Linked DNA regions of Arabidopsis thaliana. The protein of the gene in region 1 interacts with the protein of each later gene in a biochemical or structural test. Each region holds a gene or a part of one and is shown on either strand. Other genes may lie near its edges.

What was found. Proteins that work in one complex are often made in the same cells at the same time.
Region 2: the proteins of TCH3 (region 1) and PID form a complex in vitro, tested with the Arabidopsis thaliana proteins (one study listed by BioGRID).

What each region holds. Positions count from the first base shown.
Region 1 is NC_003071.7:17,136,008-17,140,107, reverse strand, and holds TCH3 (Calcium-binding EF hand family protein), read right to left. Parts: upstream 2,280-4,100; 5' UTR 2,219-2,279; exon of another isoform or gene 1,993-2,218; 5' UTR 1,978-1,992; coding exon 1,902-1,977; exon of another isoform or gene 1,802-1,901; coding exon 1,535-1,801; exon of another isoform or gene 1,435-1,534; coding exon 1,165-1,434; coding exon of another isoform or gene 1,103-1,164; intron 1,064-1,102; coding exon 702-1,063; 3' UTR 501-701; downstream 1-500. Other genes in the region: AT2G41105 (uncharacterized protein), read left to right, coding at 949-1,053, 1,103-1,177, 1,622-1,657; AT2G41090 (Calcium-binding EF-hand family protein), read right to left, coding at 3,490-3,628, 3,746-4,100. UniProt on the Arabidopsis thaliana protein: Potential calcium sensor that binds calcium in vitro.
Region 2 is NC_003071.7:14,589,177-14,594,006, reverse strand, and holds PID (Protein kinase superfamily protein), read left to right. Parts: upstream 1-1,866; 5' UTR 1,867-2,449; coding exon 2,450-2,997; intron 2,998-3,304; coding exon 3,305-4,073; 3' UTR 4,074-4,271; downstream 4,272-4,830. UniProt on the Arabidopsis thaliana protein: Serine/threonine-protein kinase involved in the regulation of auxin signaling. Acts as a positive regulator of cellular auxin efflux and regulates organ development by enhancing polar auxin transport.

The DNA of each region.
Region 1 (4,100 bases):
TCCAGTGAGTCGCCTCCTTTGATTTTCCTTGGTTCGTTGGTTTCTGGTTCCAATTCGTTAGTATTTGTTTTCTCGTTATTGTTAAATGCTGTCTTTTTTAAAAAAAAACATTTATTAGAATTATCAATTGTGAAGTATTCGTTTGGATGGTAAGTGGAGCTGTCGCTACATTTGTCTAAATTATTAAAGATTTTGCTTTTAACTACTACTTTTTAATACTACATTGTCTGTAACATTATATGTTTTTTGGAAGTGCATCGAACGTCCTTGTTTCTGCAATAACAATCACAAAGCAAAAATTTGCATCGGATAAAAACAAATCGAAGAAATACATGCTTATGACAATTGATTAACATGGTAAGATATGAGGCTTAGCTGATTTGATCACTGTATGTGCCAGATCATTAACCGATTTATCATATTAGATCAATTTTTAGTAGTGAGCTACCAGTTTTCAATGATTAGTTCTGCTACGTTTCAATGTTTTTCTCAAAAGATACATTAATACCCCAATTATATTCGATACTGAAACCATATTACAAACTCATTTTAATAAATTGCACACAACTGAAGATGGTAACACACTAACACATGCAATAAATTTATTACATAGAAATTATTGTCATTAGATGAAACGCCTTTTGAGAGAGATCTAACATAATTGTCAGACCCTATTGGCATAAAGTTACTGACGTGTCATTTCAAGATAACAGCGCTTCGAACAAATCTTTAAACCTATCTTTCATGAAGTCGGAAATTGGCGAAGCGATGATATTGCTGGCAACCCCGACCGCTATGTCCCTCTCCCAATTGGTGCCACCAGCTCTGTCATTTCTAGTGTGACGCTGCACTTGACCCTGACCTTGATTCACAACTCTGTACGTTTCTTTCTTAGACTGAGTGTCAATCATTTTACCAGTCATTACACACACAAACTCAGAGAAACTGATGGTTCCGTCACCATCTGCATCCGCTTCGTTGATCATGTCCTGGAGCTCAGCTTTTGTTTGGGTTTCACCAAGGGAGCGCATAGTAGTACGGAGCTCATTCACGGTAATGTAACCTACAAAAAGTAAGCAATGACTTATGTTAGTCATTTCAGTGCTTTGAAGATGATCAGGATCCAATATGTACGATTAGCGAGAAAGGGACGATGAACCATACCATCACCATTCTTGTCGAATACGCGGAAGGCTTCCCTGAATTCTAAGATCTGATCGTCAGTGAGCTGATAATCCACCATTGTTTTTTTAGTGTGACGCGGCGCTTGATCATGACCTTGATTCTTAGCCATTAGGTACAAGAACTCAGGGAAATCGATGGTTCCATCACCATCTAAATCCACTTCGTTCATCATGTCCTGAAGATCAGCTTTTGTCCGGTTTTTACCGAGGGAAAACATCACGGTACGGAGCTCCTTTTTCGTAATGGAACCTACAAAAAGTAATCAAGGACTAGTGTTAGTCATTTCATTGCTTTGAAGATGATCATGATCCAACATTACGATTAAATGGAAAGAGTTGATGAACCATACCATCACCATTCTTGTCGAATAACCTGAAAGATTCCCTGTACTCTGTAATCTGATCGTCAGTGAGCTTATCCGCCATTGTTTTTTTAGTGTGACGCGGCGCTTGATCATGACCTTGATTCTTAGCCATTACGCACAAGAACTCAGGGAAATCGATGGTTCCATCACCATCTAAATCCGCTTCGTTCATCAAGTCCTGAAGATCAGCTTTTGTCGGTTTTTCACCGATTGAACGCATCATGGTACCGAGCTCCTTTTTCGTAATGGAACCTACAAAAAGTAATCAAGGACTTGTGTTAGTCATTTCATTGCTTTGAAGATGATCATGATCCAACATTACGATTAAATGGAAAGAGTTGATGAACCATACCATCACCATTCTTGTCGAATAACCTGAAAGATTCCCTGTATTCTGTAATCTGATCGTCAGTGAGCTTATCCGCCATTGTTTTTTTTGTTTTCTGTGATGACTGAAAGAAGAGTTTGTGAGACAATTTGTACTACGAACCAGGACTTGAAGCCTTATATAATAGTACCCGAATTATTTGAAATGACGGCTATATCCTCAAACTTTTCCACGTTCACGCAATTTCTACGCAGGATCGTTGTCTGCCATGTCAGCTTATCCTTTCAAGTGTGAGTCGCCTCCTTTGACTGGCAATTACTTGGTTGGTTCCTTCTTCCAACTTGTTTTTTTTTTTTTTTTTCATTTATTTGAAAGAAACATTTATTTACAATGGAATTTTGGATGGGTGAGTGGACATTTGCCTAATTTATATTTTAGGTTATAGTTTTCTTATACTGACTCCGAAGGAGTGTCCTTATTTATGCAAAACTAAATAAATCATAATAGAGAAAACACTTGCATAAGATAAAAATGAATCGAAGAAATACAAGCGTATGACAATTGATTAGCACATGTTTAGTAAAGTGTTGTTGTTGAAGTTAACGAACGTTACCAATGAAATCTGATCTGAGGGATTCCACAAGTGCATTCTACTTGAGAAAGAGCAGAGAAGTTTCTACATCCTGAATATTCCTGATTTAACATCTCTGCTGTGGAAGGAATTCGCAAGACAAGTGTGTGGAAGGTTAGAAGAAACTACACAAACGACCAAAAACATGGTACATAAGAAATAACGAGAAAGACCACAGAAGTTTCTACCTTGCGGGGATGGCTTGAGCAAGTAAAGTTGACAGAAAACCACTTCCTGTGCCCGACTCAAGAATCACGGGCAGGGGCAATCTCAAGGTAGACTAGAAAGCTACTACTACCCGCCGCAATGTAAAGAATCTGAGTCTTGTGACCTGTTTCCATATGACCCAACATGCCACATGTACTGCATACAAATTTACCCTTGTTGCTTTGGATTTTGGGCCAGCGAAATTACACGGGTACAAAATAAGAAAAGCCCATATCGAAGACATGTTATCCAAGTTTTCTGATATTGAACATGCAGTAATTTTCCACACATTGTAGTCCAAATGGGTCAAAGGGCGTCCTTTGTTTTGCTCAAAACACTTGGGTTATCGAAATTGTAGACGTGTGTTTTCAATGTTGCAGGGCAGGTTGGTGCGAGGCATGTCATTATTCATTAGATGAGTCCTTATAAGAGTCTTGAAGAACTCTGGGACGGTGAGATATGAGGCTTAGCTGATTTGATCACTGTATGTGCCAAATCATTAACCGATTTAGATCAATTTTTAGTAATGCTACCAGTTTTCAATAATTAGTTCTGCTACGTTTTAAATGTTTTTCTCAAAAGATACATTGATACCCCAATTATATTCGATACTGAAACCATATTACAAACTCATTTTAATAAATTGCATGCAAGAAAAGATGGTAACACAATAAATTTATTACATAGAAATTATTTTCAAAGATCAAACGCCTTTTTAGAGAGATCTAACATACCAGCCAGACCCTAATGGCATAAAGTTACTGATGTACCATTTCAAGAAAACAACGCTTCGAACAAATTTTTGATGAAGTCGGTCATTGGCGCTGCGATGATATTTTTGGCAACCCCGGCCGCCAAGTCCCTCTCCAAAGTGCCACCAGTTGTGTCATATTTAGTATCATGACCTTGATTCCTAGCCATACACACAAGAACTCAGAATGAAATTTAAGAACAAGAGAGGAACATTCTTTATGAAATTAGATAAGAGGTAGTAAAAAAAGGGGAAGCGGAAAAGTTGTTTAAATCTCACTTGGCCATCATAAGCCTGGCAAACTCTCTGTAGTTGATCTGACCATCACCATCAACATCAGCTGCCTTGATAATCTCATCGATTTCTTCATCAGTTTGCTTCCACCGGAGGATAGTCCTCACATATCTCATTTCAGCAGCTGAGATGAAACCATTCTTGTCTATGTCAAAGAGTCTGAAATCTTTCTTGAGGTCTTTCTCAGAGTAAGTGTCCTTAGCCATTGCGCACAAGAACTCAGTGAAATTGATGGTTCCGTCACCATCTAAATCCGAATCGTTGATCTCCTCCTGAAGCTCAGCTTGGGTCAGGTTTAAACCGAGGGAACGCATCACGGCACCGAACTCCTCTGTGGTAA
Region 2 (4,830 bases), 2.5 Mb from region 1:
ATCGTTACGATTATAAAACTAAAACGGATTGAATCATCATTTAGCTTATTGTTAAAAAAAAGATTCGAGGGAGAAATAATAATTGGAGTAAGGTGGGAACTAGTCCGTACAAAACATGGACCCCACGAAATATATAGTACGTACAAGACACAGAAGTAAGTCATTCCGATGTAGTTTTAGTAATTGGTACAAGATTGGGATATAGTTAAACTAGTTACCAAACACTTGGCTAAGAGAGAGTTTGAGAAGATACAGAAGTAACGGGAACAGTTATTGTCTTTAGGAACCAACGAGGAAGGGAATATCTCTCTGGGTTTATTTAACCATAAGTCCAGAGGTCAGTTCTGTTTTGTCTCTTTGCCAATTTAGCTGGCACAATTACGACTTTGTCCCTCTTCCACCAAACATCTCATGCATTTTTCTCCTTATTTCCTTCTTTTTTCTCCAAACTTCTTTCTCTTAAGTTTCCAAAATACTTAAGAGAATAACTGAATATAGTCACAGTCAAATATGTTAATGTTTGATTCAGATTCTTTAATTTAAAACTAAACCTAGGGACACTTATCTTAACCTAGGGACACATTAATTTTGAAAAACGTGTTCTAAGGTTAGCTAAGGAGAGGGCCATGCAGATATATATGCGCCAAATGAATCATAAGCGGTGGGCATATTTATGTCTGTCCTTTTTATGGCTTATGAAACAAAGTTAAAGCTATATATTGTGCATGAAACTTAGGCTACGTTTCCCCTCTATTTTCCATTCATTTTGAACTCAACATTTGCAAGTGTTAACCACACTTCTTCTAACTGTTGTGATTCGTTTATTCTAGCCATTTCACAGATTGAGGCTAGTATAAGTATTCTAGAGTACATTATATGAATACGTCTCAAACTTTTACTGTATAAACAAAACAGTTTTCCAACCGCGAACAGAGGTTGGATTAGAGCAACTCATGGAAAAGATAAATCGGAGATGAAAAAAGTTGTCACAGTGGTCAATCCACAATGATATGAGAGTAGGACAAGTAGGTTCATTCCCGTATAATTATATAATACAATATGTTATAGTAGCCCAAACATTATAGGAGGTGGAGCTAAAACAAAACAAAAATTAGCGAGAGGAGATCTCCAATTGACAATAATTGAATCAACCAAAACCTAACCTAACATAAAAACAATATCTTGGATTCAAATCCAAAGCTTGGAACGTAACGTAACATGAAGCCACAGAAAGCCAACAACATCCTAGTATATAGGTTGGGTCCCTTCCAGCATTTGTATCATCTTTATTAATGATCATTAGGTATGTTCATAGTCGGTATAAATATATAGGGTCCGCACAAACTGGTACACTTTTTTAATGGCAAACATAGTGGTACGAATTGATAGTAATTAAGTGTGTTTTGGTCAATAGCTAGTTTTTTTGGGGTTTTCAAAGATTATATATCCGTGACCATGAGTTCTCTAGTTCAACTCTCACTCACGAGAAAGACAAATGAAAGAACATACTGTACTAGTTTTTGTCTAAAAGTACTCTTTGATTAACCTTTAGAAAATTGATGTTATCATTAAACAAAAAAAATAGTTTCACTATCTCTTCCTATAACCTTTTTTACGGGCTCATTGAATAATTACATATCTTTTAGTACATTTTGTACCAAGACGATATAACATTACCAATCATCTTGAATTAGCCAGAAACAACAAACTAAAACTGTTTAAGTTTCAGAAACTAATCCATATATAATGTTGAGATTAGTTAGTATTCATAACCTATGGAGTATTAATCTTCAAAATTTTCCTCATGAAATCTGTATTTAGTCATCACTTTTTTAACACAGATGAATCACTAGTCCAATATTTCTCCAAAAAAAGACACAAGAGTCTCGAAATTGTAATCCATATCTGTAATTTTGCACCCCTATAATATGCCTAGAGGAAATAAGAAGAAAAAATAATGGGGAAAAAGAGAAGCTACTGCTACACTTTCAGGCACGTGACAACGTCTCACACGTGTCATATATCTTACGTCATCAAGTCCTCTTTTTCTCTCTTTCACTTTTCTGTTTACCTCTCTCACGCGTTGAAAAGTGCAATCAATCTTACATAATTAACCACAGTAAGAAAAAAAAAAAATGGTCTCTGTAACGTCTTTTTACTGTTATAACCTTACACGCATAAATACCCCTCACCAACTCTCTCTGTCTCGCCTCTCTCTAAAACTCCAACACTTCTCCTTCTTCCATCTCTCTCAAACTTCTGAAAATCTTCTTCTTCTTCTCAATCATAAACCCTAAATCTTCATCTCTTCAGATCAGAAACTAATGTCCATTCAAAGACACCCTGTCCTGTTTCATCTCTGTCATTAGTCTTCTGTTTTCAGATTCCAATTTTTTTTCTTGAATTATCCTCTTAGCCATTTCTTGATTTAACTTCGATTTTCCCGGCGATGTTACGAGAATCAGACGGTGAGATGAGTTTAGGAACAACAAACTCACCGATAAGCAGCGGAACAGAGAGTTGCAGCAGTTTCAGCCGGTTATCATTCGACGCGCCGCCGTCAACTATCCCCGAAGAAGAAAGCTTCCTTTCTCTCAAACCTCACCGATCCTCAGATTTCGCTTACGCAGAGATCCGAAGACGAAAAAAACAAGGCCTAACCTTCCGAGATTTTCGCCTCATGCGTCGTATCGGCGCCGGCGACATCGGAACAGTTTACTTATGCCGTCTAGCCGGAGACGAAGAAGAGAGCCGGAGCTCGTATTTTGCGATGAAAGTTGTGGATAAAGAAGCTCTTGCGTTGAAGAAGAAGATGCATAGAGCAGAGATGGAGAAAACGATTTTGAAAATGCTTGACCATCCATTTTTGCCGACTCTTTACGCTGAGTTTGAAGCCTCACATTTCTCTTGCATCGTTATGGAATATTGCTCCGGTGGTGATTTACACTCTCTCCGTCATAGACAACCTCACCGGCGATTCTCCCTCTCTTCCGCCAGGTAAAAAATATCAAATTTTATTGAATAATTTAATATTATGGACAAAGTCAGATTTTTTTTCAAAAAAAAAAAATTGTGAAAAAAGATTCATCATCATCAATGTATATATATATTTTATAGTTACATGCATTGACTCTGTTCACATTTGTTATCTTGTTCTGCAAGAACAGACCTGTTCTTATCATGTCGGTCTTTTCCAGTTCTTTGAATTGTTATCAAAGAGTCTTTTTCAGCCCATCACAATTTATAAACGTCAATAATTATGATTTTATTAGCTAATGAGTATTTATTTTGTTTTTGGTTACAGATTTTATGCCGCCGAAGTTCTAGTGGCGTTAGAATATCTACACATGTTGGGTATCATCTACAGAGATCTGAAGCCTGAAAATATCTTAGTTAGATCCGACGGTCACATTATGCTCTCTGACTTTGACCTCTCTCTATGCTCCGACTCAATCGCAGCCGTTGAATCTTCCTCGTCTTCGCCGGAGAATCAACAACTCCGTTCACCGCGACGATTCACTCGTCTCGCTAGACTTTTCCAACGAGTCTTGCGGTCTAAAAAGGTTCAGACTTTAGAACCAACCCGTCTCTTTGTTGCTGAACCGGTTACTGCCCGGTCCGGTTCGTTCGTTGGTACGCATGAATACGTGGCACCAGAAGTTGCTTCAGGTGGATCACATGGTAATGCCGTTGACTGGTGGGCCTTTGGAGTGTTTCTCTACGAGATGATATATGGCAAGACTCCGTTCGTTGCGCCGACTAATGACGTCATTCTCCGTAACATTGTGAAAAGACAGTTGAGTTTCCCGACTGATTCGCCGGCGACTATGTTTGAGCTTCATGCGCGGAATTTGATTTCCGGGTTGCTTAACAAAGATCCGACTAAAAGACTTGGGTCACGGCGAGGTGCGGCGGAGGTTAAAGTGCATCCTTTTTTCAAAGGTCTAAACTTTGCGCTCATTCGTACGCTTACTCCGCCGGAGATTCCTTCTTCCGTCGTCAAGAAGCCGATGAAATCGGCGACGTTTAGTGGTAGAAGTAGTAACAAACCAGCGGCGTTCGATTACTTTTGAACGTTTTCTACGGTCGAGATTAGGGCCACGTGTTAGTCTGTTTTAGCTGTACATATTCCCTCGAAGCTGTCCTTTTTTTCGTTCTTTAATTTTTAAAATTTCGTTAATCTGACTTATAAATTAAAAATTTAGGTGACTTTTCATACAATTTGTACAACAAACGGATTAATCTAAAACTAATCTATTTTATAATTATCATTATCAACTCTTCGGAACTTGGGAACATCTATTTACCAGTCTAACGATAGTTAATGTTAAGGCATTATATAGTTGACCAAATTTGGTCAAACATTTCTTACCGGTTTGAATGAACTACTTTTCACCGCAATGGAAAAGAAAACGAATTACTTTATAATAAAACTCGTCACGCCTAGACTTTGTAGTTCGACGGGTATAGAAAAAGAAAAGAAGATTCGTCTTTTGACAATTGTAACACATGAAGTCATATTTGCTCTTTGTTAAATCTCTACGAGTCTTTAGAATGTCAAAAAAGGGAGAAAAAAACGTTATCCATAAGGGTAGGAATCTGCCTTTTTGGATCCGACCAGTTGCATGATCTCTCTTCTGCTTTCGATTCGTTCTCTTCAATTTCAACTTAAGGAGAACAATAAACTATAGACGGCAAGACGAAATTGTTTTCTTGATATAGAGTATCAAACGCATTCCTCTAGTGAATTCGTTTAAGCTTTATATAAAGTGGTGTCATTTTCTTTAATGTGTTAAATCGATTTCATTAATTAGATACATTCACTTGACC